2 linked regions of the Rattus norvegicus genome follow. Each later gene encodes a partner of the first gene's protein in a complex. Links are inferred from orthologs where the notes say so. Each region holds a gene or a part of one and is shown on either strand. Other genes may lie near its edges. The genes, in order: Per2 and Cry2.

Region 1 (16,005 bases):
CCCACGTTCAGTGAGGATCCATTGTCCTACACGTGCCTGCAGGGCCTCCCGCCACAGGACAGCCAAGTTCTGCAGCTCTGTGGCTAGTGGACAAGCTCCTGTCAGGGCAGATTTAGGCTCTGGCAGGCTCTGAACTGCCCCTGGAGGCCTGTAATCTGAGAGGCGAGGGAAGGTTAGAGGCTAAGCCAAATACCACCCTGCAGGCACCTGCCCCACAGGAGGGACCAGGCAAGAGCAGGGTCCTCTGGGGAAGTAGTGGCTCCTGCCGGATTGAGGCTTCAGGAGACTTGAACCCTTCAGGGGTGAGGTCCTTAGCCTAACTACCCACAAGGTCTATATCACAGGGCTACATTTGAACACTGGATGCCTGTCAGGGCTGAGATCCCAGTCCCCTAGTTCTAGGTCTGATTTTTCAATAATCTACCCAGTACTATAGGAGATAAAAATTTCCTAAGCTGCCTTAGGAGCCCTAAAGTTTTCAAAAATTGTCTTAAGTGGGAGGTTAACTCTCCTAAACCTGTTACCCCTCCTTTCCCATATGTCCAGGTCCAGCATCAAACACAAGCCACCTTCTTCACGTCCACTTCGTTGTCACTGCTCTCACCCAGTGATGCTGGTGCCTCATCCCCTCTTTGCCCAATCCCATTACAGCCGTCTAGAGTTAAGAAGTCTGGTAACTAGTGCTACCAAATATTAGGTGATTAGCAAGGATCAGAAAACCTTTCCTGCAAAGGGTCAGATAGTAAACCGTTTCCGCTAATGGGCTCTTTCTGTAGGGTTGCAGTAGCATCCTGGGGCTTTCTTCACTCTCCCCTTCCCCTTTAACTCACAGGCTATGCCAAAGCTGGCCTTGCGCCAGATTTGACTGGCAAGGCATAGTTCAATGATCCCTGGTGATATTGATTATGATCCCACAAGGACAGGTGTGCTTTTGATACACTCTGTGTTTTACAATGCGACTCATCCCTCAAGTCCCATGCATAGGGAGCTTGGTCCTCAGAGTGGTAATATTGGGAAGTGCTGTGCACATTTTCAAGAGGTAGGGACAGTGAGAGGTCCTTAGGTCATTGAGGCCACTGAGGATCAAGGTAGGGTGCATGGGACACATTTGGTCAGTTCTAGAGCTAGGGTCATGGCCTTTTATCCTGTCCCTGTCTTCATTTTTGGTGAGGTCATCTCTCTTTCTCAGGTGTGCTTCTGCCACAGTGACATCCAATACAAGGTTCTCACCAAAGCCATAATCCAAAGGCCACCTGATCTTGGACTTTCGGCCTCCAAATCTGTGGGTTACATAAGCTTCTTTTCTTTACAAAGTAGCTTCTCTCAGATATTATGTTGCAGTATCAAAAACAGATCAGCATGCATGGTAAGAAGTTCAATTCCAGAGCAAGATCTTGGTTAAGGAGATATTTACAAAAACGTGTCAGATCTCCAGTGTTTCATTTGGGGGATCTTTTGAGGGCAGCTCAGTCAGGGTTGTTTGTTATTTTCTACAAGCCTTGGTCTGGGAACAGTTAGTAGTGTTTTCCATGTCAGGCTTTAAGAAGTCAGCAGGAGATGACAACCCCCAAACCACACGGTACTCAGCAGGCTTGGAAAAGACCTGACTAAAGGGTAGAGTTGTAGGCAGAGAACCAAGCAAGACTCACAGTGCCCCTGGAGCTTGTCCTGCTAGAAGATTCATACCAGCCTGACATGGCTAAAGGGACGAGTTGGGGGTAGTAACCCACGAGGAACACTTTCCCGCTAGCCTTTAGAGGTTTGGAAGGAAATCAGGAGAAGTCAGGGAACACTTTGTCAGTCACGTCACTATGGAGTTTCCTGCTGGGGAGAATATTCCAGAAGCAGACCGTTGGAGCTTAGACTTTGGTCATTCATAACCTGTGCCGTTTGCTTTCCCAGGCTCTGTAGGGTGGAGCGGTGAGGCTGCAGACAAAGGTTATCAGAGGCAGGCACGATTCCTATCACACTGAGAGCTGGGAATGTCTTCTGCAGAGGAGCAGTGGGGGTGAGCACTCATCTCATGCTGCTGTGAGGATTAAGTAAAAGAAGGCACGGTAGTGCCAAGCACGACTCCTGTGAGTAGAGGGCAGTCACAGCTTTGTGCAGTCAAGGTGGGTCCCTAATGGCCACAGACATCCATGAATGTGAATCTCTGGCCTCAGCCTCCTGCTTTCTTCTGTGTCACCCAGGATCAAATACCCTATTGGTGGCTAACTTTGATTTTCCTCAGGGCATGAAAGACTCCAGTTCCTGATGCTACTCCAGGACATCTACGTTAGGGGGAGGGGAAGAGAGCAGAGACGCTGTCATTCGGTGCCACTAACAATGCTGGAAGAAAACTGAGGTGACTTTCTTGGGGACACATGAGGATAGAGCAAGAGGGACTTCTAGGAGAAACCTATGACTTAGAAGAACAGTGAGATCAGCCCTTGACTAATAACAAAGTCCTTGTGAGGGAAGAAGATCCTCATGTATGGGGATCGCTTCAAACACGAGGATAGACAGAGATCACCTCAGACATGGAGGATTCCCTTCAGACATCGAGCATCACTTTAGACATGGAAGATTACCATAGACACAGACATGACAGTCACCTCCAACATGGAAGATCACCTCAATTATGGAGAACAACCTCAGATATAGAGAATCACCTCAGACATGCAGGTCCCCTGAGGTGCGCTCAGGTGTGCTGTTTACCTTAGCCGAGGTGTTGCTCAGGACACAGTGTATGCTAGCTTCATCACTGTAATGAATACACGAGGCAGTAGGTTTACAAAGAGAGAAAGTTTATTTGGGCCCGCCCTTCTGAAGGTTTCAGTTCACGGTTGATCCTCACTGTTACTTTTTGGCCTGTAGCAAGGGCAAGTGATCATCGAACCAGCATGTGGGAAACGGTTGATGTCAGGACTGGTATCAAAGGAAGATCAAGAGGTAGGTGTTTCACTGTCCCTTTAAGGGCATTTCTCCAATGACCTAAAGCCTCCTATAAGACCCACCCCTTCAAGGTTTCACCACTTTCCCAACAGTACCATGTTGGTGACCTATTCTTTAATGCACGGGTGTTTGAGAACATTCCAGATCCAAATTACAGCAGGGTTTCACCTTGACTGTGAGGGGATCACCTTGGGCATGGAGACTACCCCAGGTCCAAGGATCAATTGTCTCAGACATGGGACATTTTTAGTTTGAATGTGATATATTCCCCACTGGTTCTGGTGCTTGAGCACTTAGCCCTTGGCGATTAGTGTTATATTTTGGAGGTTATAGAACCTCTGAGGGTACCAGACACATACACAGTGTACAGATATACGTGCGGTCAAAACACACACACACACACACACACACACACACACACACACCAAAATTTTAAAATAAAAGGATAGCCAATGCAACTTAGTCCAGAGAGTAAGGTCTTCTATCTGAAAATGAAGGGAGATTATTTCCGGTGTCTTGCTGAAGTAGCTTGTGGTGATGATCGAAAACAAACGATAGGAAATCCCCAAGGAGCCTACCAAGAGGCATTTGATATAAGCAAGAAAGAGATGCAACTTACCCGTCCGATCCGCCTGGGGCTGGCTCTTCACTCTCCTGTATTTTACTATGAGAGCCTTAATAATCCAGAGCCTGCCTACACACTGGCTAAAATGGCTTTTGATGAAGCAATTGCTGAGCTTGAAACACTGAATGAAGACTCCTACAAAGACAGCGCCCTCGTCACACAGTTGCTTAGAGACAACTTAACATTATGGACATCAGACAGTGCAGGAGAAGAATGTGATGCAGCGGATGGGGCTGAGAACTAAAGGCATCCAGGACACCAACCTCCTTCCCCTCAAGAAAACCTTTTTACATCTCCAGTCCTTATTCCACTTGGATTTCCTCTAGCAAGGAAGCCCATTCATGTGTATGGGGTCAACTGTTTATAGTCTTTTCACACTGCAGCTTTGGGAAAACTCCATCCCTTGGTTTGTGTTGTCTCCGCCTTCCTGGTGTGCAGTTACTGCTGTAGAGAAGTATCAATAGCTTCATTTCATATAAACACGAGTGACTTCCAGACACTTGTGTAGAGCACATTTGGTATTTAAGTAATCTGAACCAGTTCTGCAACTGACTGTGTTTTGTATTACTGTGAAGATATGGAAACGGTAGTGCATTACAATTTAAAGTGATTGTAATAATAACATCATGATTTCTACATTCCTTTTCTGAACTTTCTTGGGGGTTTCCTTTCAGAAGCAACTTTTCCATGCTCTTACTACAAATTCCTTCTTAATAGGAATCCAGAAGTGTTAGATTGAATGGAAAGCGCTTAATGCATTTGGGCTTGGGGGGTCACAGATTGAAATGTCTCCTGTGTCACATATTCTGGAGGTTACATCTGTCTGTGACAACAGGGCATTTCCTTATGCATTCTTCATTTGCTGCTGTTTAAGTTGACAACTTCCTTCCCAATAAAGATTCACTTACACCTCCTGCCTTCGTAGCTCTGGTACTCGCTTTACCTTGTGATAGAAGTAGCATGTTTCTGCCAGAATACAAGCATTGCTTTGGGCAAATTAAAATGCATGTCCTTTCTTAATACGCTAGGAAGGAGAAATAAAGTACACAAGTCCAAGTCTAAACTTTAGTACTTTTCCATGCAGATTTGTGCACATGTGAGGGGGTATCTGGTTTGTCCAGTGATTGTTCTTTAGAGAGTTGGATCACTATATTGTGTGTTTGCTAATTATTGATTGTAGTCCCAAAAAAGCCTTGTGAAAATGTTATGCCCTATGTAACAGCAGGGTAACATAAAATAAAACTACGTTCTATAAGAAAATAAAAGGAAGTGATACAGGGCATTGCCTCAGACATTGGGTAATATCTCAGGCATAAAGGGTACTCAAGACATGGGGAGCACCTCACCCCCTGGACACAGTTGTCTTGTGATGGCTGTCTTCCTGTAGACTCCTTCAAAACTGTGAGGGACACCAGTGGCCACAAAACCCTGGAAAGAAGCTCAAACCCTGGAAAGAGTCTTGGGAAACCTCGACCTGCAACCCAATTCCCAAGTTCCCAAGGCACAGGTTTGATCTACAGCACCAACTCTGAGAACTGTCATTCACAGACTACCCACCCCCACCAAAAGTCACAGCTCTCATCTCAGTCAGGCCATTGGCTTTTCTTATATGACCTTATTACCAGGAAAGCTGATGCTTCAATCTCTTCTTGCGTGACATGACAGCAAATAGTTTTAGGCTGAGAGGAGGCTTCTTTTAAAACTGTATCTTCAGGGCTGAAGAGATAGCTTAGCAGTTAAAAAAACTTATTGCCCTTCAGGTTGTGGTTCCCAGCACCCATTGGGCAGCTCACAACAATCTATAACTCAAGGTAATGTGGGATACAGGGTAAAATACTGTCTTAAAAATAGAAGGAGGAGGAGGAGGAGGAGGAGGAGGAGGAGGAGGAGGAGGAGGGAAGAGGAAAGGAAGGAGAAGAAGGAGGAAGGAAGAAAGGAGGAGGAGGAAGAGGAGGAGGAGAGAAGAAGAAAAGGAGGAGGAGAGAAGGAGGAGGGGAGGAGAGAAGGAGGAGGAGGAGAGGGGAGGGGGAGGAGGAGGTTCACTTTGCATTTCTCTCCAAACTCAGGTGTTAGCAAATGTTCGTGGCATATATGAATATATTGGAAAGGAGAATCCAACCGAGTGAGAAACCGAAGACAAAATAGATCCCAAAGAGTTCTAGAGTCTCCACAGTATTGAGTTTCCGAAAGAATTGATTTCTATGGCTTTCGAGAATATTTACTGGTGGAAATAGCAAAGGCTAAATGTAAGGAGAAACCGTGACATTACATTGCAGGCCAAATGTGGTGCAAGACAAGAAAGAGCTGAACATGAAGAAGACTTTGCCAGGTGGATGAGCTGTGTACTCTTGTTTCCAGAACAATGCAGCCACCATTGACGTCAATGAAAGTGAGGAAACAAAAGGCCCTTTGGGTGTGTGCAGAGTGCAGCTTGGCCCAGCTCTGCTCAGTGTTTGTGCCTGTTGGGGAGTGTGGTGAGGTGTCAATGTCAGAGGAACCAGAGGTGCTGCCCTGCCCCCTGCAGTGTGAGTCAACATCTGGCTTCCCAGGGCTCCTTCAGGATGGGCTGCCGAAAAGAACTTAGTCTCTGCCTGCCCTCCCACCCACCCCCCTCCCCCGCATCTGAGGAATTGCATGCCTGTCCTGCCAGGCAGACAGAAAGAAGAGCCTCACTCACAGGGATTTTTGAATGTGGGTTAGCTGGCTGTGTGCACCAGCAACTCAGTTTGTTCACAGACTTGGTTGATAGTGTTTGCCTTCTTTCCATTCCTAGTTCCTAGGACACACCTGGGGAAGATTCAGAATAGCGGGTGCTACTAGGCTTCGAGTTCCTAGGCCACGACGAGTAACCTTTGCACCCTTCAAAGACATGACAACCTTGCCTCCCCCATCACACCCTACACTTCCAGAGCCTTTAAAATGTCTATGTCAGACAGGTAAGTCTTGGGCCTCAAACCAGTTCCAGGGAAAGTTCTACTCCCTCCTTTGACCCTTTGGACTGAATGCTTAATAGTCTTCCAGACAGTACTCTTGAAAGAGCCAAGTAGGTTCAGCCAAGGTTCCACAAGAGCAAGGTTGTCCTGTCCCCGGGGAATTCCCTCCCCTGACTAGCGAGTGTCTATAGCTTCCACCTCAGAAAAGCCCTGCTGTTCCAGATGCATGTCCCATCTACCCCATTCTCAAGTGCTCCGCTTCCACATACCCTGTAAGGTTAATAAACTACACCACCGCATTTGGTTAAGCTTCCCTACAGAATGCCAGTCTTTTCTCCCTATGCCATTGAGGGCAGGAAGAAATCACTTCTTTCCTTTGTATCTCTGCACCGCACTCATGACCTTATTTCCTGAATCAACACAATCTGGCAACACGCGATTTCAAAAACAAGAAAGGCTAAGTGGGAGCGATGTGCTCTGGCCCACGTAGGACGACCATCAGCCTGGGGTCCTGGCCTGGGGTCAACCAGGCTGTCCTGCATAGGTGCGCAGCAGCAGATCCAGAGGGGCCGCCCTATTTGTCCTCCGGCGCCTCGCCATGAATGAATGGGAGAGGAAATGAATGAACTGGGCTGGGTGAGCGAAAGGTGTCGGATGAGAGCTTTCTCGATCCCTCAGATTGCTGAGGCTGCTCACGTCGCTGCAGGTGGTAGGCCGGTGGCCTGGGACTCCGCCGGCCGTGAGTGGCGCAGCAGCCAAGAACCTTCCCCCCCGCGCCGCAATGGTACGCGCCACTCCCGGCTGCACGAGCGGGCCACCGCCATGCCAGGTGAATGGAAGTCCCGCAGGCCGGAAGTGGACGAGCCTACTCGCCAGGGCGCAGGGGGGCGCAAGAGTGCGCAACGTCTTCATTGAGGAACCGGGGCGGCGAACATGGAGTTCCATGTGCGTCTTATGTAAAGAGAGCGACGGGCGTCTTTACCAATCGATGCGCGGAACTCTCAGGTTCCGCCCCACCAGTATGCAAATGATGCGGCGCCGCGACCAATGGCGCGCGGAGGGGCGGGCTCAACGCGCGCGGTCACGTTTTCCACTATGTGACAGCGGAGGGCGACGCGGTGGCAGCGGCGCTACAGTGACTAGCGGCTCCGGGCGGCTGCGGCGCAGGCCGAGCGCACCAAGTGACGGGTCGAGCAAAGGACCGACGCGCGGGTGGACGCTGCGAAGCGGTGAGTGGCGCGGCGCTGGGCGGCGGCTCGGCGCTGGGCGGTGGCGCGGACCTGGACGGCCGTGGTCGGCTTACGTAACCGGCGGCTCGAACAGCTGGAGCTGGGGTCCTGAGCCAGGAGTTGCCGACTGTGCAAACGGCTGCAACTCCGCAGAATGTAGATGGGACTGCGCGGTGACCCTCTTTTAGGCGCACACTGCTGCCCCCCATTTCTCAGGTTAGGCACTGAGGTCGGGGAGATTAGTTAGGCATCTTGTCCGAGGACGCAGAGACATTGAGTGATCACCACACCAGACTGCGCGAGCCGACTCCAATAGTGATGACCAAGGAAACTAGGGTGAGTGCAAAACGTTCCTAGGATGGATCCAGAGGGTCCCCTGAGGAGCTAGCTTACTACTATAAGTCCAGATAGTCAAGTCTGGCCCTGAGGAAGGACCACTGGTAGGCGTTGACTCCCAGAGGTGGGAAAGGGGTTAAACAGAGAAATATCCAATGCCAAGCCACACCTGCCCCTCCCCGTCGTCAGAGAGACCACCTTCCTTGTCCACCCACTCTGATTTCCATGGCATCCTCCATGCCAGCATTTCCTGTCTCCAGATGGACTGGGTGTGTGTCAGGGGAGGGGGAGAGGTCCACTCTTGAGCTGGAGCAGTCACGTCATCCTTTGGGACATACCTTGGCTGCCAAGCGCAGACATGGACCAAGAGGTGGGCGGTGGCCTGCTTCTTCTCCAGGATCCCTGGTTGCCAGGGTTTCTGTAACGTATACACAAGGAACCAGTTTGGAAAGCTGATTCATACAGATCAAGGGAGCCAGAAGGCTCCCTGGAAATCATCCAGGGTAACCCCTAGCTTGAAGAGGCAGAGGCACAGGCTGATAGGCTGTACCACTGTAAAAACCAGGCCTGGCTGGCAGTCTGAGGATCCGTTTCCCCTCCTTGGTCCACATGCTTACCAGAGATGCAAGCCTGACACGTCCACTTTGCCTTACTCTCTGGAGTCTAGGTCGGATTTGTCTGATAAGAGAACCAGAGTCTGTGTACCTGAAGGCTTTCATTGAAAAAAAAAAATCGGGCTTTTAAATGCAGAGAGAATCACTTTTTATACGTCGTTGGAATCTAAAAAAGCCGAGGACTCCTTTATTTTAGTGGTGGCTGTACACTGTGCCCTCAAGGAATGGCACTGTGGGTGGCTGCGGTTATCCGTCACTGTCATCTTGGTGTGATTTCTTGGTACATAACTGGTGCAGTTTGGGCTTTCTGTGGAGGCTGGGGTGCCGAGCAGCGAACGGGGGAGCCTTGTATCAGCCAGCTGGTAGCTACGGGGTACCTCGTCTTACCCTGGGCCTCAGTTTCCTCATCTGAGGCGCTTTCTGAGATCTGGCCCCATTCACGCTTGGAGTTGTGTGTCTGTGGACCTTTATCTTAACTTCTATGGGGAGAAGTTTCCAAAGCCCTGCTGGTGTCACATAATGTCTCCGTGTGAGACTTCTCTGCTGCGCTTAAACAGACTAGGAAAGGTTCCTTTTATTTAGACAGCCTCTCCCAGACTTGGAACCTTCTAGAAAACCCTGGGAAGTGTGGGGGCCTATTATAATGGTCTAAGTTCATCCAATCTCAGCGGATCATCAACTCCAGCTCTGAGACGTCAGTGAGTGATTGGAGGCACGGGAAAGAGCCTCGCTGGATATGGGAGTGACCCTTGACTATGATTGCACTAGGTGACTAGAAACGCATAGCCCACAGCCCTGTGGAGCCCTCTTCACCTAACGCTTGTAGGAAGCTGCTTACCACCAGACTCCTGGGAGAACGAGCAGGTGCAGAGAGCCTCTGCTGGCCTGCTCCCAAACCATTGTACTTCCCACAGGGGATTCGGCCTTCACATGAAGTCTTTTGCTCATGGAATATAATCCTACCAAGCCGGTCACTGTAGGGCACTCTAGAGTCCAAAGTAAGATCGAAGCAGGGAGGGAGGTCACACGATTGACTTTCTACCGTGTGTGCGGAGAGGTCAGAGGACAAGTTGAAGGACTTAGTTCCAGGGCTCGAACTTAGGTTGTCCAGTCTCGGCAGCAAGTGTCTTTACCCTCTGAGCCATCTCTCCAGCCCTCACATAATTATCTTGGCACAGTGGGCTTTGTGAAAAAACAGGGCCTGTTTCCTGCAACACCTGGTCCTAGATCAGCTCAGGTCCTCGAGGGCAAAGGTCTGGGCTTCCTAGATCCCTCCAGCATTCAAACTGCTCTTTCCCACCTCAACCACCACCAGGGCCTGTCACCTAGGTACATTATTCATTGCAGCTTGGTACCTCAACATAGGTAAGGACTGAAAAGCCTGTGGGGGAAGTCCTATCGAGTCAGCACCCCGCCCGCCTGCCTCCTTCCCCTCCTTATTTGGACAGCCCTGGCCACATTTTCCTCCGTTACCCAACCGTCACCATGGAGAGAGTGGCTGTTTATTTAACAGGACAAACATTTTCTTCGGATTACAGCAGGCAGGCCCCAGGGAGTTGGCTCCTACCAGGAAGTAGAAAACATGTTATAATATTTGAGGTTGTAAAATACCATGGGGCTTGCAGACTCGAGGTACAGGCGTCGGGCCCCTGTTATATAAAGTCGGAAGACAGTCAGGAGTTTGCTGGGTTGTGATTAGCCAGGCTCGGGCTGTTCTTGCCGGCTGGCCATAGGGTTCAGGGACAAATACTAAACTGAGATCTTATGATGCGTGCGTCTTTACTTCTCTCTCTCTCTCTCTCTCTCTCTCTCTCTCTCTCTCTCTCTCTCTTTCTTTTTTTCAGAGCTGGGGACCGAACCCAGGGCTTTGCGCTTGCTAGGCAAGCGCTCTACCACTGAGCTAAATCCCCAACCCCTTTACTTTTCTCTTAAGGAAGTAGGTTCCTTACTCTTTTCGCTCAGAAAATGTATTCATTTCCCTCTTAAGTAGGAGGCCGTGAGGGTGAGAGACCCTTATGTTCCTAACTGGCAATGGAGGCTGGTTGTCAGGCTGTGCTGTCATTCCTGGTCCTGTCTTGTCCTTGTGGTTTGCTGGGGTTTTTTTGTTTTTTTTTTTTTTTAAACCATTTATTATGGAGAGTGCTAGTTACAGAGGCTGAGAGAGCAAGCCTGTGAACTCCCAGCAGCCAGCCTTGGGTGCCCTCCCCCACCCCAGGCCCATGATCTCATCACCCAGGGCACTTTTTTTTCCCTAACGTGCCTCTGTCTGGCCAAGGAGAGTGAGCATGACCGAGTGACTGGGTCAACAACCCCAGCTTAACTCCTACCCTCAGGTTGGCTGCTGTCCATGGGAGAGGCTCACGGATAGATATGGAGGGTGTGGGCTCAGGCTAAGAGGGTCTCAGCCAAGTTCTCCCTCTCCCTCCCAGACCCCTCCCTGAGACTACCATAGTACCCTCTTTCCCAGGGGCTTCTGCCCACCCATCAGAGCCAGGACTGAGTGCTGGATCATAAGTGCAGGAGGCAAAGTCTGCTTGGACCAGCAACTGTTTCTGCTAACTTGGCAAATTGGTGTCAGTCCATTAGCGCCACTTATGCTGAGCAATGCATTTTCTGGAATAATGAGGTTTTTGGGCGAGTTAGCTTAGTTTGTTGCCTTCCGTTTCTGCCATGTCTGCCTGGCTATCCCTGTGAAAGAAGTTTACCTTCCTCTCCAAGGTAACCTGGTGGCAACAGTGACCCTGTTCACATAGACGCTCGGGGATTGGAATTGCCAGGCACAAACTAGGAGTCCCAACACAGAATATCCAGGTTGCACCAGGGTGGGGTTGGGTAGAATGGGGTGTACATTTTTAGCCCTTTGCATGTAAGCCAGAGAGACACTACTAGTGGCTCGGCAGTGAACTCCCCGACCCTACCCTTGCCTGACCTGCCTGTTTCCCTGTCGTGATTTAGCCCCGAGATTGAAAGCTGGTATTTGTCATTTCTGGATTCCAGATAGATCAGACCATTTAATTTTCCCAAGTGCCAATAAGAGGAAGGAACTGTTTTTATCCCCGTCATAAAGATGAGGAATCATGGCACAGAGGCTAAGAGACTCCTCACAGCCTAGGACTAGTGGAGTATGGCAGAACGGGTGGCTCACACTGCTGCTGGCAGCTTCATAACCCAAGACAAAAAAGATGGCTGCTCATCTGCCTGTGTAGAGGGGATAGATGTAGTCTAGAGTATTAGGGGTCAAGAGTGAACAAATCCCGGGGCTTCAGTAGGACTGGGTGGCCATGCTGAACCTGGAGTCAGCCCAAGGGGACACAAGTGGCAAGTCTGTGTCAAATGTGCACCCCATCACAAGTCCTGGCTCACCCACTCTGTCTGTCTCCCAGGAATTTTTCATATCCTATGCATCCTGGTTCCTTGTTGACCTCAAAGGTGAGCCCTGGGAGAGCAGGATACCCCTGCACTCTAGTCTACTAGAAGGCCACCCTAGGGATCCCTGGCATAGGGTCCACAGGTGTGCCCCTGTGGTTTTAGTGTTTTAGACCCCCCTATAGCCCTTCCCGTGGGTGCACAGAATTGTGCTGCAGAGTCCTAGGCTCTACTATCCCAGCCCTTCCCGTGGGTGCACAGAACTGTTTGGTAGGTAGTGCTAGGCTGTGCTAGTCTGCTTCTTCCAGCAAGCACACAGTCATCTGTGGGGCAGAGCCCTAAGCTGTGTTATTCCCTCCCACCCCTACCCCTACCCCCTCTACCCCGTATCTGTTGGCGGGCGTGCAGTGTTCTTCAGTGTAGAGTCCCAGCCATGTTTCTTCCATAGTGTGTTCTTCTGACCGCAGAAGACACTCAAAACTCTTGCTGTCATACAGTGTGCTCTCTACAGGGGAATGGAAACACCATCCTGACACAAGCCCTACAGGGAGAGGATGATGAGGTTCTCTGGGTGTCTGAGGAGAGTGCTGAAGCCCAGAGGGAAGAGCAGCACAGTCTTTGGAGCAAGGCTAGACCAAGGGGCGGATAAATAAAGGTGTCTGGGGACAGCTAGACCTCGAAGAGCCTTCAGTCCCTTCTTTAGGCAATCCGTCCTCTGATCACAGGCCTAGCATAACTGACATCCATTCACCAGAGTCACTTGTCCTACTGTATTGACAGTGGTAGGGCCCGGTGGAGGCAGTAGCTCAGTCTGGAAGTTGAGGCTGGGGTCTAGGGGTCTAGGCAGAATGCTCACATTATACAGGTATCTGTGTACTACTCTAATTACCATACAGAGACGCCCCGCCCCGCCCAGCCCCGCCCCCTGCCTATGACACTGCTTGAGTTCTGTCTCGCTCATGACTTGTATGTGGGGTTTGACATTTCTGTGTCTCAGTTCCTAGAAAGAGGAAAGGTCACATGCTCTTTCAGAGAGTCTCTGTGGTGGCATTCCTAAGCTCCCGAAGCCAGCTATCCTACATCTTACCATCGGCCATCCTGCTAATGTTCCATGACAGTGGGCAAGACTTCTTCCTTAGCATTTTCCTTGTGCTGATGGCCTGAGCATCTCTCCATCAGTTCCTGTAGCTCTGTGGGAAGGCCTCTCTGTGAAGCCAGTGCCTTGGCATTTTTAAGTCCCCTCTCTTTCCTCTTTCCTTGAATTAGGCACAACTTCAAAACTGCTTTAAAAAAAAAAAAAGACCAGAACTTGCACATTTTATTCTGACTTCAGCTGGGGCAGTTCGTGCATTTAGGATTCCTATGACTTGGGATGCTGACAAACTCCACCTGTCTGCAAGTCCCTCTGGGGTGCCTTCCTTTCTCTGTGTCTGTCTTCCTTACAGAACTGGGTGTAAACAGTTCCTCCAGGGGCCCCTGCCTGGCAATCCCTCCTTCCTACTTCATAGGTCACATGTTTGATTTTCCTAGTCAGAGATAGATACCGCTTTCTTTACTCTTAAATAAAACATAATTTTAACTGGGGCTTCTAGATTTGTAGTACGTGGTACCAGGGTATATACAGATTGACAGATCAAAATCTGCGTATCTTGGTGTTCTGAGGTTTTTTTCCCTGGATGAAAATGGCCACTTTCCCTTCTGCTTGGTCATCACCTTCTTAGGTCTGATGTACATACCTGCAATCTCTAATCCCAGCACATGGCAAGCTCAGGCAGGAGGATTACAAGTTCAAGTCTATTCTGATCTACATAGAAAGACTTTATTTTACCAAAAAAAAAAAAAAAACAGTAGCAACAACAAATCCCCCATGACCAAAGATATTTCTCCCTTCTTGACTGAACTGTGTCTTTTTTTTTTTTTTTTTTTTGGTTCTGATGTTGTGTTTTTGTCTTGGCCTACGGCGTTATCTCAGTTTTCCTCACTTGTTTCATCAAAACTGTCTCCTGTAGACTTTCGTGCATGAGGAGAAGTAGGGATCGTCTGCCCCCTCTGTCCTGGGTTGGTCTTCCCTCATGCTAATGGCGATACTTTGTTGGAACCTTCTCGAAAGCCTCACTTTGGCTTTTGTCTGTTAATTGTGGACAAACAAGGCCTCATCACTCATGACGAGGAACATGTTCCCAGAAACAACATGGCTCCCATCTCCCTGGAGTCAACTCCACGGTGGAAAAGACCTGGGGAGGTCCTGCGTAAAGGATTGTGTTGAGCCTTATGATGCCATCACCGGGGTTTTGAAAGGATGTGTGATCTGCATTGTTTCCTGCATATGTGGCCACTTTCTTGGTGTGGACCTCAGGCTGTTCTGCCCCACAGTTTGTCTGCTAGCATCTTTCCATTGGTTATACCCTCTCTCCACTTGTCCCTCTGTGGCACGAGTGGGGGAGATCTGTAGTGCTGGTCCTCTTCCTTGGGCCTGGGGCAGTTGGGCAGGGTGTGAGACCCCAGTGCCAACCCTGGTACACTGTCACTCCTGTCACTGCTGCACCCTGTTGTGGCAAACAGGTGGGACCCTTGGAGTTTTCCTGGGCTGTGGAAAACCTTGCTGTTTCTCCAGCAGTTTGAAATCCTTGCTCATTTCACATGAATTATGGGAGCAGTGGGGTGGTGATGTCTAGAAAGCATCCCTGTCCTTGTCTACTCTGGGAAGGGTGAGCTCATGCTGCACTCAGGCCAAGTCAGCAGAGAAACCTCTAAGCTTAGCGTGGATACAGGATCCCACCAGAGCATCCTGGGTCAGGCTAGTGTGGAGCCGGCTGTTCCCCAACCTTATGCAGCCCTGGGTGAGCGTCCTACCCCATCAACTCATCTACAGCATGGAATCCTACATGCAGCGAGCGCACATAGTGATTGTAGTGTGACCTGGGCTGTCATTTTTTTTTCCTTTTCTTTTTTTCAGAGCTGGGGACCAAACCCAGGGCCTTGCGCTTGCTAGGCAAGCGCTCAACCACTGAGCTAAATCCCCAACCCCGACCTGGGCTGTCATTAACAACTTCGGCCTTCCATTAACAACTGGTGTTTTCCTGACTGCAAGGAAGCCTGTTGGAGTATTGTGTCCTCTAAGACCCTCTCAGAGAATGTACGGTTGCCACTTGGCCTCCTAGCAAGAGCCAGCAAGTTCCCTGCCCACTGACTTCCTCGTGTGCTTGGCAGAGAGAGAGAGGTCAGGAGGAGAGAGCGACCAGGCATTTCTTCCTCAGCCTGTGGTGATCTGGGTTTCCTTAGCTCTGTCTTCTTCCCTACCAACTTGGGTGGTGGTAACTGCCTAGGCCCAGCATGGAGTCCTTAACTGCTTTTAGCTGTTTGCATAAACTTAATGTGACCTGACCCCGCTTAAGTGACATCTGCTTCCTTCCTGCTAGAAATATTATCCCTGGCTCTCCCTCTTTCTCCCAGAGACATCTAACAGTCTCTTATCCTTGAGCTGTGGCCTCTTGTCTGGTGGTGATATATACACCCTTCCCAATCACTGTCTGGGCCCTTCATGGGGTTCAGATTTCTGTGGAAGCCTTCATAGTGGTGGGATTTTAGCCCCTTCTGTCCTCCTGTCCCTGAGCACACAAGTTGATGTTTCTATTTCACATGGCCATGAGATCCTGCCAAACGGAAACCAAATCATGGCTGTGCTACTTAGGCAGTTCAGTGACCTCTGACTGCTGAGTGTAGGCCTGATTCTCCTTCCCCTCACACCACCTTATGCCAACGCCAGGACACCTGCAGTGCTGGAGCCCTGAGCCCTGGAGCATTCCATGGCATACTGTGGGACCAGCTACACACAGAGAGCTCTTCACCCCTCACCCAACAGTATTACCTCTCCAGGAGGCCTTGCTGCCTCCACCGTCTCTGTGGCACGTGCCCTGTTGTGATGGAGTTGTTTCTGGACCACACTGCTGACTCTATTTTCCCCC
Region 2 (16,018 bases), on another chromosome or scaffold:
CACATGGCTGAGTGTTGGGGTAGCCCCCCACCACATGCCGTAAGGTATGCCCCATATTCTCAGATGATAATTGCTGGGTCGGTAGCACCAGGCTGGCAGGATGTGTGAATGTTTGTCTGTCGGGGCCTCACTTGCCCAAAAAGAAAGTCAAACTCCCCTGGGGGAGGAGTCAATGGTTAAGAGCATGGACTACTCTTCCAGAAGATATAGTTCAAATCCCAGGACTTGGCCAGCATCCCAATTTTCTTATGGTTCCCAAAGATATCATCACCCCAGGACAGCAGGATGCAATCTAAAGAACAAAGCACCCTCATTCCCCAGGGTGGATGGTGGTTCGCTGGGTTATAGATGTCATTGTCATTGAAGGGGGTTGGTTGTGGTTTGTTAAGGGTTGTGGTCAGGGAAGAAACAAAGGAAAAGAGGTTGGATTCAGGGATCTCTCTCTCTCTCTCTCTCCCTCCCTCTCTCTCTCTCTCTCTCTGTCTCTCTCTCTCTCTCTCTCTCTCTCCCCCCTCTATCCTTCTTTCTCTCCTAACAAGTGTCCAAGTGTCAGTGGATGAAACAGGTTGGGGGGAATGGGGAAGGGAAAAGAAGGGTGGATTATTGTATCTCCTTTTAGACTAAGAAAGCAACGAGTTTCAAATATTTTAGACTGGTATAGATTTGTGCATGAGGATAGAAATTTGAGGTTATATTCGCAACAACATACTGTGCACATGATCCAGCTCTTGTTTAAGGCATGTAACTTGAGTGCAACTCACTTAGAAATGCAAGGTAAAGTGCTAGTCATATGAAACTGTTAAGAATAAGAAATGCAAGTTAAGGCTAGGGAGATGGCTTAGTGGTTAAGAGCACTGGCTGTTCTAGGGGTCCTGGGTTCAATTCTCAGCAACCATATGGTGGCTCACAACCATCTTTAATGGGATCTGATGCTCTCTTCTGGTGTGTCTGAAGACAGTGACAGTGTACTCACATGTATGAAACAATAAATCTTAAAAGAAAAGAAAGAAGTACAAGTTAGTAGTCATTCACCTATAAATAATCAAACCCTTTAATGCATTCGGAATTATACCTGTAGTCATGCTAGGTATGAGTGTAGTTTATTCTGGGGGGAAGGCCTTATTAGCCTCCTGTATATGTTTTCAAAATTAAGCAAAAACAAAGTAACTAGAAACAGACAAATTTGTCTATTTAGGTGTACTTTAGATAGATAGGTGGTCCTCAAACACTCCAAAGTTCTGTAGAATATGGCATTTAAGATGTTTCAGTAAAAATAAAAAGGCTTTCCATGACAGAGTGACACATCAGCTCCTGGCAGCAGCACTGATCGCCTCCAGCGAAGATGATGGGCACAGAACCTCCACCTGGAACTTGCTTCAAATGTGGCGAAGCTGGACGCTGGGCTATAAACTGCTCTTTACCTCGACTGCTGGCAGCACCCTGTCCAAACTGTGGGCAAGCAGGACATGGGGAAGTGGACAAAATGGGACGGACAGTGCCCCTTAAGCTCCCACTTCACAGGAAACTTCATCAAATCATCTGGCCTGGTAACCACAAGATGGACGCCCCACAGACACAAAGGAGCTTGGATGACTGGCCAGGTAGCCAGTAAGTCTCTGTCATTTTTATTAGATTTGGAAGCAGCTCACCCTGCACGTCCTATTGACACAGGTGAAATGTATTCTTCTCAGGTTTCTGATGGGTTTGAAGATTAGACTCGTGATAGGCTTCAAAAGTTCAAAGCTTTAACATTGATCAATGGAGTTCTGATAATATTATCATAGCCACAAGCTCAAGATCTTAAATTTCCTTTGGTTGTCTTCTAAATATAAACTTAAAAGGACCGTTCCTTGTGCTCATTTGACGCAAACCCTCTACAGAACTTTGGACTCCCCAACATAGGACAAATGGACTGGACATTGTCTCACACTGATAGTTATCATATCTGTTCTTATTGTTTTTAGTTTACTGATGGTAGAAATAAAGCTATTTTTGTGGACTAAAAAGGAGAGATGTTGGGGTGACCCACCCCCACACATATCATAAGGAATGTCCCTGTATTCTCAAATGTTAATTGCTAGGCCAGTGGCACCAGGCTGGCAGGATGTGTAAGTGTTTGTGGGCCTCATCTGCCCCAAAAGAAAGGCAAGGTACCCTGGGGAGGAGTCTCTCCCACCATGTTAATAACTCTCTTGTGTAAGAAAGAAGTGTGGTATTTGAGCAAGAAAGTGCTGGCGACTGAAGCTGGGAGGGGGAGCAGAAGCTGGATAGAAGCATCATGGGACAGCGCAGGAAAGGAGAGCAGTGAGAACCAAGCTGAGGGTTGCCAGGGTAGAGAAGCCAGGCAGTTGGCGGCTTGTTGAGAGACTGCCCCAGGAGAAAGGCCAGCAGCCTTATACAATACAGATGTCTTTGTTATTAAAACCCAAGTCGGACCCCAAAGCCCTGCAATGGCTGAGACTCAGAAACATGCAAAGTGGGAAAACTCACACCCAAAAGGACAGATGTGTGCCTCCACATATGTGATGGGGACTGGTCTTTAGGAGCTGGCAACAGAGCAGAGGTAACTAAGGTGTTGGGCAGGAAGGAATGGTGGCCTGCTGCTTGCTGGGTACAGGGTTTCTACAGGGGACAATGTAACACGGCTAAAAATGTCAATTTGTGTTTTACATATTTGACAATAACTCATACACAAAAAATGGGAAGGGCCTGGGGCATAGCTCAGTTGGTAGAGTGCTTGCCTGTCATGCACAAAACCCTGGCTTTTACTCCCACCATTACATAAAAACCTGGGTGCTGTGGTACACATCTGTAATTCCAGCATTTGAGAGGTGGAGGCAGGAGGATTAGAAGCTGGAAAATTACCTAGGTCATGCAGGGGACCCAGGCTCAGTTCTCAACACCCACATGGCTGCCCACAACTGCCTGTAACTGCAGTTCCAAAGGATCTGACATACAAAGAACGGTGTCCACTGATTTTTATCTGCTTCTGGAGTCTCAATTATGAGCCATTTGTCTAGTTACCGTGCTCTCGTCCTACACAGCACCTATCATTCTCCTGTCTCTGTTTTTCTTTCCTTTCCTTTCCTTTTGTTGTTGTTGTACTTGGGGTTTTTTTTTTTTTTTTTTTTTTGTTTTGTTTGAGACGGGGTTTCTCTGTGTAGCCCTTGCTGTCCTGGAAGTTGCTCTAGACTAGGCTGGCCCCAAAGTCAGAGATCCACTTGCCTCTGCCTCCAGGGAGCTGGATTAAAGGCATGTGACACTAAGTCTGCTCGGCTATCCTCTCTGTTTTTCAAATGAAGGGAGCATGGAGAAATTAAAAAGCTCGCCCAAGTAAATAAATACACCATTCATTAGTTAATGGTAGAGCTGCAAACCGAACTAAGAGAAAGCTTAGCAGCTCCTCAAACTGAATAATTGAAAGGACAAATATTATTTTGGGGGGGTGTATTCTTGGAGGCTGCTGGACTCGTGCTTCCCAAGTCCTACCACTAGAGGGCGTGAGCGCCTTAAATTCGCCACGCTTTTCCCCGCCCTCTGCGTCGTCACATTTTCACCAATCATCAGATATTTACTGGAAGGGCAGATCCAAAGCAGAAAAGTTTCCCCGTATGATCTCTATAGAGGATTTTGACCAAAGGAAACAAACAAAACAGGAATGATTTGTCTTAAACATCGTCAGGGAAGACAGCATTCACTTTCTGGATGTACCATCACATCCTTGAAGTATCAGGTCCCCCCCCTTGGGTCCTCCTCTCCTTCTGCCTTTAGTGAGAGCTGGAGCAGTCCTTTTAGTGAGGGAGGCCAGGAGCTCCGAGGTGACCAAAATAGAATTCAAATTTCTGCGTCTTTAGTCATGTGCAGGTTTGTGTGCCCTCACTCCGGTATCTCCGTACTCATTTTAACGCACAAAATTACAAAGTGGACTTTGTCCTCCAGTGTCCTTTCAGGTGCCAGAACTGACATTCTGGCCCTTGAGTGTTGCCCAGGTAATTTACCCAAGTACTGGGCATCCATTCTGTGGGGTGAATTATCCTTATCAACTTGAATACGCAAGCCACACAAAACAAACATGGTGACACAGCAAGATAGAAACACTTCACACGCAATTGAGGCCACACTGCCCCTCCCTCTGGCTCAGATGTTTATGGATAGTGTCCATGAGAAATGGCTAAGTTGTTAGGCTTATCTTTGTTTTCTATTATTGCTGTAATTTTTGAGGTTTTTTTTTAAATGATTAAAAGTCTCATTCACTGGGTCATTTATGGAATACAGGTCATATGTAAGAAAAGGCCTGGAAGTTGCAAAGAAGGCAAAATTGGATGCAGGGCCTGGTCTCCAGAATAACAGCTTCTCACTGTGCCCAAGAAACTATTACCACCCCTGCTGTATCTACTAAGAAAGGGAGCCTGGAGTGACTAAGAGGTTAAAAGAACTACTTGTTAGTGGTGGTTTGAATGAGAGTGGCCCCCATAGGCTCCATTACTTGAATGCTTGGTCCACAGTTGGTGGAACTGTCTGGGAAGGATTAGGAGGTGTGGCTCCTGTAGGAGGAAGTGTGTCACTGGGGTTGGGCTTTGATGTTTCAGCTAAAGCCATTCTCAGTCAGTTAGCCTTCTCTGTCTCATACCTGTAGATCAGACGTAAGTTCTTGCAATTAGTCCAGAGCTGGGCCTGCCTGCCCGCTGCCATTCTACTCGACCAGCTTGTCCAGGGTCACAGAGAAGCAAGCAGAATTTGAGTTCAACCTCTTCATAAACAAGATAGGGCAGCCCCTGACTGCAGAGAGCTCACAGTACAACAGACACAGCACAATGGGAGTTTTAGAGAAGAGAAGAATTTACTCCCTGAACAGTCATTTGTGAATGGACCACCTCCTTACCCTCCCTGTTCTCTTCCTTGCAGACCCTCAGTGTTGTGGGGACCCAAGGAGACAAAAGAAAGAGAAAGGCGTACAATACCTCAAAGGAAAAGAAAGGGGGACCTAGAGAGATGGTTCAGAGGTTAACAGTGTGTATGCACTTTTCTTGCAGAGAACCTGACCCACGGGTAGTTCTCAGCCCCCGGAAACACTATGCTGGAGTCCATTAGACACATGCCTTCATGGGCACACACTTGTACCCAGACATGAGATTAAAAATAATGAAAAAGGGGTTGGGGATTTAGCTCAGTGGTAGAGCGCTTGCCTAGCAAGCGCAAGGCCCTGGGTTCAGTCCCCAGCTCCGAAAAAAAAAAAAAAAAAGAAAAAAGAAAAAAAATGAAAAAAAAACAAATGTTTAAAGAAAAGTAAAGGGAAACATCAGTTCACTCAACAAGTACTTGCAGAGGAGGCTCAAAGGAGAGAGTCAGGCAGAGACTGTGATAGACGTTAAGGCGCTGGCCAGTTTGAGCTTCTTATGTTTGATTCATGTGATCCTTCAGTGCCAAGTACTGAGCTAGACCTGGGAAATGTAACTGACTGTTGCCAAGGCCCCTGCATGCCAGGGCTTAGAGTCTGATGGATCTGACATACAATAGCTAAGAAATCCCAGTACTATGTGCTAAGACCAGAGATAGAAGAAGAGGAGGAAGAGGAGGAAGAGGAGGAGGAGGAGGAAGAGGAGGGGGAGGGGGGAGAAGGAGAACCAAATGAAATGAGCCCCTGGAGCTTGGGCCCAGGAAACTGGAAATGACAGCTGTCAAAGGGAAAACAGGAGATTCAAGGGTGTGGGCTGGGGCATGTGATTTATGTGAGGGAACAGCATGTCCAAAGCCCTGGAAATGAGAGGATTGTAATGACTCTGTAGTCAGAGAGTGGTGCCAATTAATGCTATTAACTTGCTGGTTAAATTCTAGATTCTTTCATTGCTCATTCCCAAGATGGGGAAGGGTCTACACATGGGATCAACACAAGGACAAATTGAAACAGTTCTCTGCTTGATAGCGCCAGCCCTCCATCCCAACTAGCCCATCTTAGCCCATGTACAGCGTGGGCAAGCCCTGTGCTAGAATCTCCAAAGAATCAAAGGGTTTCCAATGGAGACATAAGAGAATATTACCCTGCACATTTCTGATTCCCACATGAAATCCAGTAAAGAGTTTTGTGCAAAATAACGGCACTGTCTACTAAACAGAACGTAAAAGAAATAAATTCATCTGAGGACATAATGACTGTGTCAACCCACATCCTCTGGAACCTTTACCCTTTCTCCCAAACCCACTTCTGCCGCATACAAGGGCTTCTCCTTCATCCTTATGCCTTTCTGCATGCAAATGCCAAGATTCTCTTCGAGGAAGTGGGTTAAAGGCAGAAGCTTTGAAAATGAAAGATTCAGAGCGGAATCTTACTGGGTTCATGGTATTGCGCAAGCCATTCAAACTGGAGTGCCCTAAGCTTACTTCATCTGCAGAATAAGACTAACAAGCATCTGTTTTATTCGTGTTTGTGGAATGAACGTAACCGGGATGAAAATAGAAAATAGGACAGTTTGTGTAAGGCAATCACTGCTCAGCCAGCCTCGAATATGAACAGTACAACGTACTGCAAGAAAGGGCCTGGTGACAGATCTGTCAGCCACCGGCCGGAGTCACCTCAATCCCTATTTGCGTAGGAGACGCGAAATGCGTAGGAGATCCGGGGTCCCTCCAGACTCAGCCCACGCGGGGCGGGCACAGCGCCATCCTGCGTCACCGACCGGTGGCTACCAAGCCCGGACCACACATGGTGGGAACGTGAGGGGGCGGGGCCTGCGTCGGCGCTGCCGACCAATGGAACAGAGGGAGGGACCCACCCGGTGTCACCCAATCACAGAGACGATTCAGGCTCCTTGGGGTGGAGCTATGGCAGGGAGAGGCTGCATTATAGGCCGCTGGGCGGGCACTGGGCGGGACCGACGGTGTGGCCAGGGGCGGAGCAGCAGACCAAGACCCAGTCCGGGCGGCGATGGCGGCGGCTGCTGTGGTGGCAGCGACGGTCCCCGCGCAGTCGATGGGCGCGGACGGCGCGTCCTCCGTGCACTGGTTCCGCAAAGGACTACGGCTCCACGACAACCCCGCGCTGTTAGCTGCCGTGCGCGGGGCGCGCTGTGTGCGCTGCGTCTACATCCTCGACCCGTGGTTCGCGGCCTCCTCGTCAGTGGGCATCAACCGATGGAGGTGAGGGGACCCTATCTTGCGTGGTGGTAACATTGAGCGGACTCCCCCGGGCCCAGGAACTCCAGCCTGCGGCTACTGACACAGCATTTTTGCCCTGTGTGGCCCGCTCTGAACTCCGGGGCGGCCTGGGGAACAGAGGTCACGACCCCTCTATGCTGACGAGACTCTCGTTAGAAACGCGAAGTTGGCCTGCAGCCAGTCCCTGGCAGAATGGGACTGGGCTTTTAGGGGTGTGCTGTAGGAGGGGACAAAAGCGTTCAAGAGCAGGAGCTCCTCGCCGAACCCCACCCCCAAGGGCTTCCCTAAGCCTCGGGTTTGACTCTCCCCACCCCCCTTTTTCCCATCGCGGATAACCTTTCTTCACAGACAGCGGTGGTGGTGATTAGGGAATCTAGCTTAGCATTAGCCAGTATTAAAAAGACCTCAAGGGCATTATCGGTTAGTGGCACTTTGTGTTCTTAACTCATTAATTTTTTATAAACATTTATTGGGAAAGGACATTCATGACATGGCAGTGTGTAGAGTTAAGAGGACGACTTGCAGGTTCTCTTTCACCATACGGTTCCAGGCTGGAAGGTGGGTTTACCTAGGAGGTGCCCTTAACCCATCTGAGAGGATCCCTTCTGTATTGTAACTTTGCTAGAAAGATATTCAAAGAGGGTTGCACCACCCGTCAGCCTTTCCTCCTGTTATCATGAAATAATTTTTTGAGAACAGTTGGACCATTACAGATGAGACTTTTAGGAGCTGATGTAAGGGTAAGGAACAACAAAACCACAATATCAAGAACCCCTTATAACTCCCAGGAGGTTGAGCCCTTTCCCGGCATTCTGTGACACGATTAATAAATTGGTAGCTGATGTATTTTCTCTGTAACCAGTATTCAGAAACAAGAAAGTTTTGATACATCATGTACCCATCACTCTTTAAATGCCTCCTACAGTAGCTTGGTTTGTTTGCATTGTTAGAGAGATGTTTGCTTATGGCCTTGTTGCACAGATGAGCAGAGTAGCTCCCAGGAGACAGTGGCTTTCAGCATCCATTCTTTCCTCTCCAAAAGGGGTTTGCCTTGCTAGGAGAGCAAGTATTCCTAGTAGAACATCTATTAAATGCCCCTGCCTGCCCCATTTACACAGTGGAGAGCCAGCCCACACTGTTTTCAGGCTGTGCTATTACTCTGCCTCGCTCCAGTTTCCATAGATAGGAGGTTAGATTTGACAAACACCAGGGAATGACCATCTCTACTGTGGACATTAAACCAGGCCTCAGACTTTGCCCTCCCCTTCCTTTTGGCAGTGTGCCAATGTGGTTGGAGTCAATAGAATCTCAGTCTTATTTGTTATGTTGTCATGAAGATGTTTCTTTTTTTACTGGGATTGGGGGAGTGCTGTCTATGACTGCCTACTCCTTTGTGGTAGTGGAGATAAAAGAGCCTTTTTTTTTCCTTCACGAAGTTGATTGAACTCCACTATACTAAGAACTTGGTTTTATGGGGTTTTGTGGGTCACCCTTTTGTAGTTGCACTTTTTCAAGAGAATGAAGCAGAAAAGGGACAAGGCAGCTCAGATGCTTGGGCGACAGACATCTCAAATCATGTGGGGATGCAGATGCCAAGAGGTGATTTCGGGGGTTGGAGCTGGTAGGCCGCTGCTGGGCATGGCAGTGAACCATCGGGGCTCAGGTGTGCACGCACAGCCTCCAGAGACTGCATCTGAGCAGAGGAAGACAAGTAAAAATAAATGGAGGAGGCCTAAACACCATGAACCAAATAAGATGGGCATGTGTGTGTGTTGGGGGGGAGGGAGGTAAAAACTACAGATGTGTTTTTATTATTTGCCTCACATTGAAATCACTTAAAGATCCTTGAAAGCTTCCTGGGCTCCCTCCCCCGTTTCTGATCCAATTGCTCTGGTCTGGGTTGCCTTTTTTTTGGTGGGGGAGGGGTGTTACTTCAGCCAAGCTTCAGGAGTACTGCACTAATGAACTACAGAGAGTCAGGCAACCCAGGGTGTGTGTTGCTTCAGTGCATTGACCGGAAGTCTAATTAGCTTTGGCATTTAGGAGAACAAGGTGAAATAACACAAAACAGATCGAATGTGGTAACTGCTCCTGAGCCTGGCAGGAGGCACGCCACAGCAGCCTGGCCATTGTCCTTGCTCCCGAGGGTTTGAGAGCAATGCTATGCTATGTGGTGCACAGGGTTGGAATCAAGGAGTCCCGTGCCCCCACCCCTCCTGTCAGCTGCCTTCTGCATAACTGCAGTATGTGTAATCTTCCGGCGCTGCTTCCGGAACTTGGGAGTAGTCTAAGGGAATGGGGCTGCAGTATAACAGCCCTGCCCCCTACTGCTTCTGCAGCCTACACTGAACTGTCTCTCTAGAAGGGTGGGGCCATCTGGCAGAAGTGGGAGATCTGAATCTGTCACCTCTGTCACACTGACTCCCTCCCTGCAGATGGAATCAGATTAAAATAGCCACAGCGTTAGTTAAAGAGAAAGGCAACCAAGAAAAAGAGTGTGTGTGTGTGTGTGTGTGTGTGTGTGTGTGTGTGTGTGTGTGTGTGTGTGCGCGCGTGCACATGTAGGCATGGAATAAGGTTGCCATACTCATTGCCTTAGTGATAATAGGAAGTCTGTGGACCGCCAGTAGCTCTGTGGCTCCCAGGGATGTTTTCCTAGCATCCTTCGCCATTTTCCTCTGTCCTTCCCTTCCCAAATATGCTGTATCTAGAAAGGAGGTTCTGCAGGCACAAACCAAAACAAAAGGCAGATGTGAATGGCTTTTAGATTTTAAAAATGGGTGAGACTCCATCCAGTTTTTTGGTTCTTTTTTTTTTTTTTTTTTTTTCGGAGCTGGGGACCGAACCCAGGGCCTTGCGCTTCCTAGGTAAGCGCTCTACCACTGAGCCAAATCCCCAGCCCCTACTCCATCCAGTTTTAATTACCTTCTCTCTGTCACAGCTTAGATGTCAGCCAGGATTCTCCTCCTACTCTGTTGAAATTATTTTGTCCCTGGCTCTGTGCTGCATCTTCCAGGAGCTTCCAGAGCAGAGGGAGTTAGTAGATGTGTCTTCTCTCTTAGTCATTTCTCTCAGAAGTTAGCCAATGATATAGGACGGGGACTCTTGTCATTTAGGAGCTGGACGCAGCTGAACAGCTGGACCATCAAAGAGGGTGGCCTGGGAACTGGGAGGCCACAAAGAGGAGGTGGGATCTGTAGTTGCTGGTGGAGAGATTTGTGTTCCTTGAGCTATTGAGCTATTCACACTGTAACTCCAGCAAGAGGCCTCACTGTTCTGTAAGCCAAGAGCACATTTCCATTTGCCCAACAGGGGTAAAACCTTTGATCAAGTTGTTTAAAATTAAGCACCCTGCAAAAGAAAAAAAAACATATTTTTATTTATATGAGCCCCTGCTACAGACTGTGGGATTAGATTATTCCTTTTAGTGGGGCTTAAACTCTTAATTTCTTGGAAGTGAATTTCTATCTATTAATATCTTGTTACCAGTTTGCCAGCTTATAATATTGTTATGGTTAGATAAGCTTGCTTGAAGCAGAAGAATTTGGTCAAGGATGTCTGGACAGGAAGAATTCACTAACCTACCCACCCACTCTCACCTTCCACTCTATTAACAGATAAACCAAGTGTTTCTTTCTTTCTTTCTTTCTTTCTTTCTTTCTTTCTTTCTTTCTTTCTTTTTTTTTTTCTTTTTTCTTTTTTTTTTTTTCGGAGCTGGGGACCAAACCCAGGGCCTTGCGCTTGCTAGGCAAGCGCTCTACCGCTGAGCTAAATCCCCATCCAAACCAAGTGTTTCTTAACACAGTCATTACTATCCCCCAGAGAAGATCTCTCTGAGTGGACATATGGAACTCACTTGTTCTGAAGAGATCGCTTCCTGGAGTTGATGATAGTTTTCCCTGTGTTTTTTGGAAATCCCAATTTGGTTTTCTCCAGTTCTGTCTGCCCTGGCCCCAGAGGACTTATGTGATTCTGGCGAAAGGACTATTCAAAAGGGGGAGTTCTGACGGAAACTGTAGGGGCTGTGACTGCTCCTTCAGGGGGTGTGCTCTGTATTTTAGCCCTGTGATCTTCACTTGGAGCAAGGGTGAAGATCAGCCCCAGCATCACGCCTTCCAGTGCGTGAGCAGTGAGCAGGTGCAGAGGAGGGTTCAAAGAAAGCCCAGAGGGAAAGGCCAGTTCTCCCCAGTTAAGGCAGCCTCAGCCTGCCAGGTGGGCACTTTCCGGGTGCAACTTGCTCCAGTTCCTTGGTGCTTTGCAGAGCTATCACCTGGCAGGTACAAGAGGCGATGTCTTGTCAGTGGCTTCCCTGTCTGTGGCTGGCTGGGCGCTGGAAACTACCGAGGGCTCTCCCTCTCTCCTTCCTATTGCCTCCTGGGAAGCAGTTCTGAGTTCATCTTGGGGAGGATGGATGGTGGAAAAAGTTCAGCATTTCCTTTTTTGGGGGGTGGTGGTGGTGGTTAGAGCTTGAGAGAGGGTTTCACTGTAGTCTGTCCTGAAACTCACTCTGTAGACCATGCTGGCCTCCAACTCATAGAGATCTGCCTGCCTCTGTCTCCTAAGGGCTGGGATTAAATAAAGGCCACCGCCACCCAACTAGGTAAATATTTCTTAACAGCCTGAGTCTGATGGGGTTGGGGTAGAACCTAGTAGAAGCAAAGTTGAAACAAAAGTGTACAGTGTACCGATATTGAAGTCAAGGTGAAGTGTGTGACACAGTGGTTCTTCTTCAGTTTTCATGGATAAGGGAATTCCTGGGCAAATTCTGATTGTGGCAGTCTGGGATGGAGCCCAAGAAAGTATGTGTGTTCTAGAAAGTTCCTGGTCATGCACAGCTAGGGCTCTGAGTCTCACCACACTTTGGGAAGCACAGATCTACAGAAAAGATGGTAGCCTTTAATTAAGCTCAAGTACTCTCTAAGAGCTGAACCCTAGGCAGTACCACCCACCTCAAGTGTGTATTGCTCAGAGCGGTGGGTGTGCTCACTGCTGAGGTCCAGGAGCCTGGTAGCTGAGAGCGAACACTGAGCTGTAGACTCCTAGTTCTGGCCAGCTACTAGGTATGTTATGTTGGAGAAATTACTTAATCTTTGATGCTAGTTTCTTCATCTGTAAAATGAGGACATCCAGGGACAGAGTTGTCTGATAAATAATATATGCAAAGCAAGTGGGATAGAACCTTGCTCAGAGAGTGCTTGGTAAATGTAGCTGTTGCTGTTGTGAATTGCACCGTTGTTTTATTCTAGCTATAGACTTTTCCTTCTGCTTCCTGCCAGAGAAGACAAGGGTATTCATCTTTGCTATAGAGATGCTGCTGAAAGCTCTCCTTTTAGTAAATGAGTTCTAAAAATAAAGTTGTATAGAAAACAGTTTGCAACATACTCTAGAATCTATATTTCCTGTGCATTTCAGCCTTGGTAACTGCCGATCGAAGTTCTCAGGTGTGTTGAGTTGTATATGGCTGGACACGTTGGGATCTTCTGATGGGAAGGACCTCTGCCCTGAGGTGTGGAATTGTGCCTGGTGGAGCCTCCTGTTTCTGGTGGCTGAGGCTATCTGCCCCCTCAGTCTTTATTTTTATTTTGTATGTGTATTAGGGGCAGCCAGCAAAGTGCCGCCCCCCCCCCCAAGACCAATTTAAACAGGCTTGCAATTCAAATGTAAACAGGTTTAGCCTTCAAAGGGTGTCAGGTTTTCTAAATTGGAAATTTCACTGCAGGGGAACTTGAGGAGCCACAAAGCAACCTTTAGGCTGTCAGTCTCCTGTCTCAACCCATTGGGTAAGCCTATGTGTTCTTTAGCTCAGTGATGCTCTGGGCTGGGCTCCTGCTGGAATGTGGGTCTGCAGCTTTGGACATGGGATTATGTCATTTCATGTACGTCAGAGGCTGCAGGCAGGGCCTAGTTCTGGTTGGCACCGTCAAGGCTTCTGTAAGCCTCCAGTAGTCAGGGATCTACAGCAGGTTCTGCGGAGGGACCATGACATGAGAAGCTCGGCCTGTTCAGGCTGGGGTCCTGAGGAGGAAGATAGGCATATGGAAGACTGTCTGGACGAGGCTTGTGTTCCAGGCTCAGGAGACTCTCAGCCCTTGACTAAAGTATTTAGAAATGGATCACTAGAAAAAACAAAAACAAAAACAAAAACATGGCTTTTAGAGTCTGGTCTGCCTGGGCCACTATGCCAGCTCAGTCACCTAATAGCTATCTGCTTTGCTAAATTCCCTAACCTCTCTTGTCAGATTTTTTGTCTGCAAAATGGGGATAGTTCCGTTTCCTTCGAAATGTGTTGAGGGAGTCAAATTATGAAAGTACTTACGAATTAGAATAAATCCATAGTCAAACTGATGACCATGGTTGCCTTGGGAAGGCAAGAGAGGATATTTCACTCTGTACCCATTTGTCACTGGGATTTTGAACTACATCAATAGCTATACAAGTAACACTGTGCTTGCTGCCCAAGGGACTGTGGGACACAGAGAGGCATGGAAAGTGAACCTTCAGAGATGGCTCAGCCTGTGATTGTGGCTTTAGTATTTAACAGACATATAAAACAGCACCAAGATCAGCTCATAGTGAGGATGCGAGTTCAATGCCTAGGCTCTGTGTCTCAGGTTTTCCATGCACTATCTGATTTGATTTCTTAGCAATTTCATGAGGTAACTAACATCTTAGCAAGTCTATAGGCTCTACTGTTTAATTCCATGGCATGGATGAGAAAGCAATTAAAGAGGTTAAGTCATTGCCTCATATCACACAGCTAGCTAATAAGCAGGAGGCTACCCCATCACTCCTCGGCTGAGCTCAGGCTAGGCCTCCAGCTCTGTCCACACCATACCAACTTGTTTGGCATGAATAGTGGCTTTGTTAAGGAAGAATTGTGTGTGTGTGTGTGTGTGTGTGTGTGTGTGTGTGTGTGTGTGTGTGTGAGAGAGAGAGAGAGAGAGAGAGAGAGAGAGAGAGAGAAAGATTGCTTACCACCTCTACCCTAGCCCCTACCCATGTTAATAACGAGGTCTTTGTGGAATCCACAGGTTCCTACTGCAGTCTCTAGAAGATCTGGACACAAGCTTAAGAAAGCTGAATTCCCGTCTGTTTGTAGTCCGGGGTCAGCCAGCTGATGTGTTCCCAAGGCTTTTCAAGGTGAGCATGAAGGGCTGAGAGGGAGCTTCTGTTGCTTGGCTTCTTCCCATGGAGTGAAATGCTATTCTGGCTGGCAAAATGGAAATACTGGTGCCTGTCTAGCCACTAAAATGGCTGCTAGGGAGGTCAGAAGCAGGGACTGCTGGTGAATTTGCCAGCAGGGTGGAAACTGTTAAGGGAAAACTGTAAAATCAGTGTTGTGTTGGAAAGATCCCAACTCAGCCCAGACACGCAGGGTGGTGAGTCCTTCCACCCTGCTGCCGCTGGCTTCCTTATGCTTCTGTGGTTCCAGCCAGTATGTTTATTAGAGCTTGTTCCTGCCAAGACTTTGAGGGTGGGGTTTCCTGTCTAACAAGGGGTGCTGCCCACCTCAACTTGCTCTGCTTATTAGGGAAAAAGTCAGTCAGGCATTTGAGGGACCCATCCCTGTTTCCCTGCAGTAAGCAATTAATAAAATCTTTTTTCTGGCGCCATACTGGACGCAAGCCCATTTTCTCCTGCCTCTTTAAAATGCATGTTTTAAGGCCCAAGCAGAGGCAAAAGTTCTCATGCATAGAACATTCTAGACCATTCTCCTTCATCCTCAGTAGCACTCCAAGTTCTATATGAAAAATCTAATGTCAGAGAAAATAGCTTCATATTGTGTCTTCCCACCCCATCCCCCATTATTCTGTACACACCTATGAACACTAGTCATTAGCATTCTCCAAGAGCTGACTGGGTCGTATTCCAACTGTTACCATATGTTAACACCCACCCCTAGCAGCCCCGAGTGGTGGGTTCTGCCATCCCAGGTTTATAGGTAAAGAAGCTAGCATGCACCCCTGGCCAGGAAATTGTCTTGGGCTCCCTGACATAGAGCTTTGTGTTTGCCTGGCAAACCCTGTACATGCATTCGTTAGGCTGTGGCTATGGCTCAGTGGTAGAGCACTTGCCTGATATGTATGAGGCCCTGATCCCGTCCCCATCACAATAAAACCAAGACAATGGTAATAGAAAATATTTTGTCGGGGTTGGGGATTTAGCTCAGTGGTAGAGCGCCTGGGTTTGGTCCCCAGCTCCGAAAAAAAAAAAGAAAATATTTTGTCTTTTCTATCCCTCCACATTGCTCCTCTCTCCCAGGAGCTCAGAGGCCAAATGGTCTATAGCTCAGAAATAAAGATCCATTCATTGTTCATTGAATCACTCATTATGTATTTACTGAGCTTCTACCAGCTTTCAGGCCCCATGCTGACTGATAAGGCCCTAGTGATACCTGTACAATCCAGCATGATTTCTACTCTGAGTTGACACAATGATGGGCAAAACAGGCAGTAATGGGCAGCTTCATTGCCTGTGACAAGCACCGTGGTAGAAATAGGACAAGGCACAGGAGAATCATCCTGAAGGACTGAGCACTGTCAGTTAATGAGAATCTTCTTGTTCACAGGGTTCTATGAGTATGTAGTGATGTCATCTCTGTAAACCACTTAGCATCGTAAGGGCTAAGTAAATATATAGTATATTCGGACTTAGATGAGCTGGATATTCACCCTGCTAAGGACTCACTCCCCTGGGCAGGCCTGAGTTAGGATAGTGACCAGTGGCTCAAAGCTTTAAGGGACTATGACCAGAGGCTGGTTAGATTGTTTCCTTCTTGCTAGTTCCATGCTATAGGGCTTTCTATGGCTTGTCTAGATAGCTTTCACCAGGTCCACTTTCTCCTAGTGTTGCTAGGAGACTGGGT

The links.
Region 2: the proteins of Per2 (region 1) and Cry2 are in contact, whole or in part, in a crystal structure (PDB 4U8H), measured with the Mus musculus proteins. The link is inferred for Rattus norvegicus from reciprocal best matches to the Homo sapiens genes PER2 and CRY2. Residues at the interface, in NP_035196.2 of Mus musculus: Tyr1132, Leu1134, Gln1135, Asp1136, Pro1137, Trp1139, Leu1140, Met1142, Ala1143, Asn1144, Thr1145, Ile1149, Met1150, Met1151, Thr1152, Tyr1153, Gln1154, Leu1155, Arg1158, Asp1159, Leu1160, Val1163, Leu1164, Asp1167, Gln1168, Lys1170, Leu1171, Leu1174, Gln1175, Ser1177; in NP_034093.1 of Mus musculus: Trp58, Ser63, Ser64, Val65, Lys163, Leu166, Thr167, Lys169, Arg170, Glu215, Leu216, Gly217, Phe218, Asn330, Pro331, Ile332, Cys333, Ile334, Gln335, Ile336, Pro337, Asp339, Asn341, Pro342, Glu343, Leu345, Ala346, Lys347, Ala349, Glu350.

Annotation. Positions count from the first base shown.
Region 1 is NC_086027.1:99,488,628-99,504,632, reverse strand, and holds the start of Per2 (period circadian protein homolog 2), read left to right. Parts: upstream 1-7,639; 5' UTR 7,640-7,724; intron 7,725-7,754; exon of another isoform or gene 7,755-8,060; intron 8,061-14,996; exon of another isoform or gene 14,997-15,260; intron 15,261-16,005. UniProt on the Homo sapiens protein: Transcriptional repressor which forms a core component of the circadian clock.
Region 2 is NC_086021.1:98,851,340-98,867,357, reverse strand, and holds the start of Cry2 (cryptochrome-2), read left to right. Parts: upstream 1-6,920; 5' UTR 6,921-6,922; coding exon 6,923-7,134; exon of another isoform or gene 7,135-8,845; intron 8,846-9,905; exon of another isoform or gene 9,906-10,503; intron 10,504-14,183; coding exon 14,184-14,292; intron 14,293-15,547; exon of another isoform or gene 15,548-15,712; intron 15,713-15,796; exon of another isoform or gene 15,797-16,018. UniProt on the Homo sapiens protein: Transcriptional repressor which forms a core component of the circadian clock.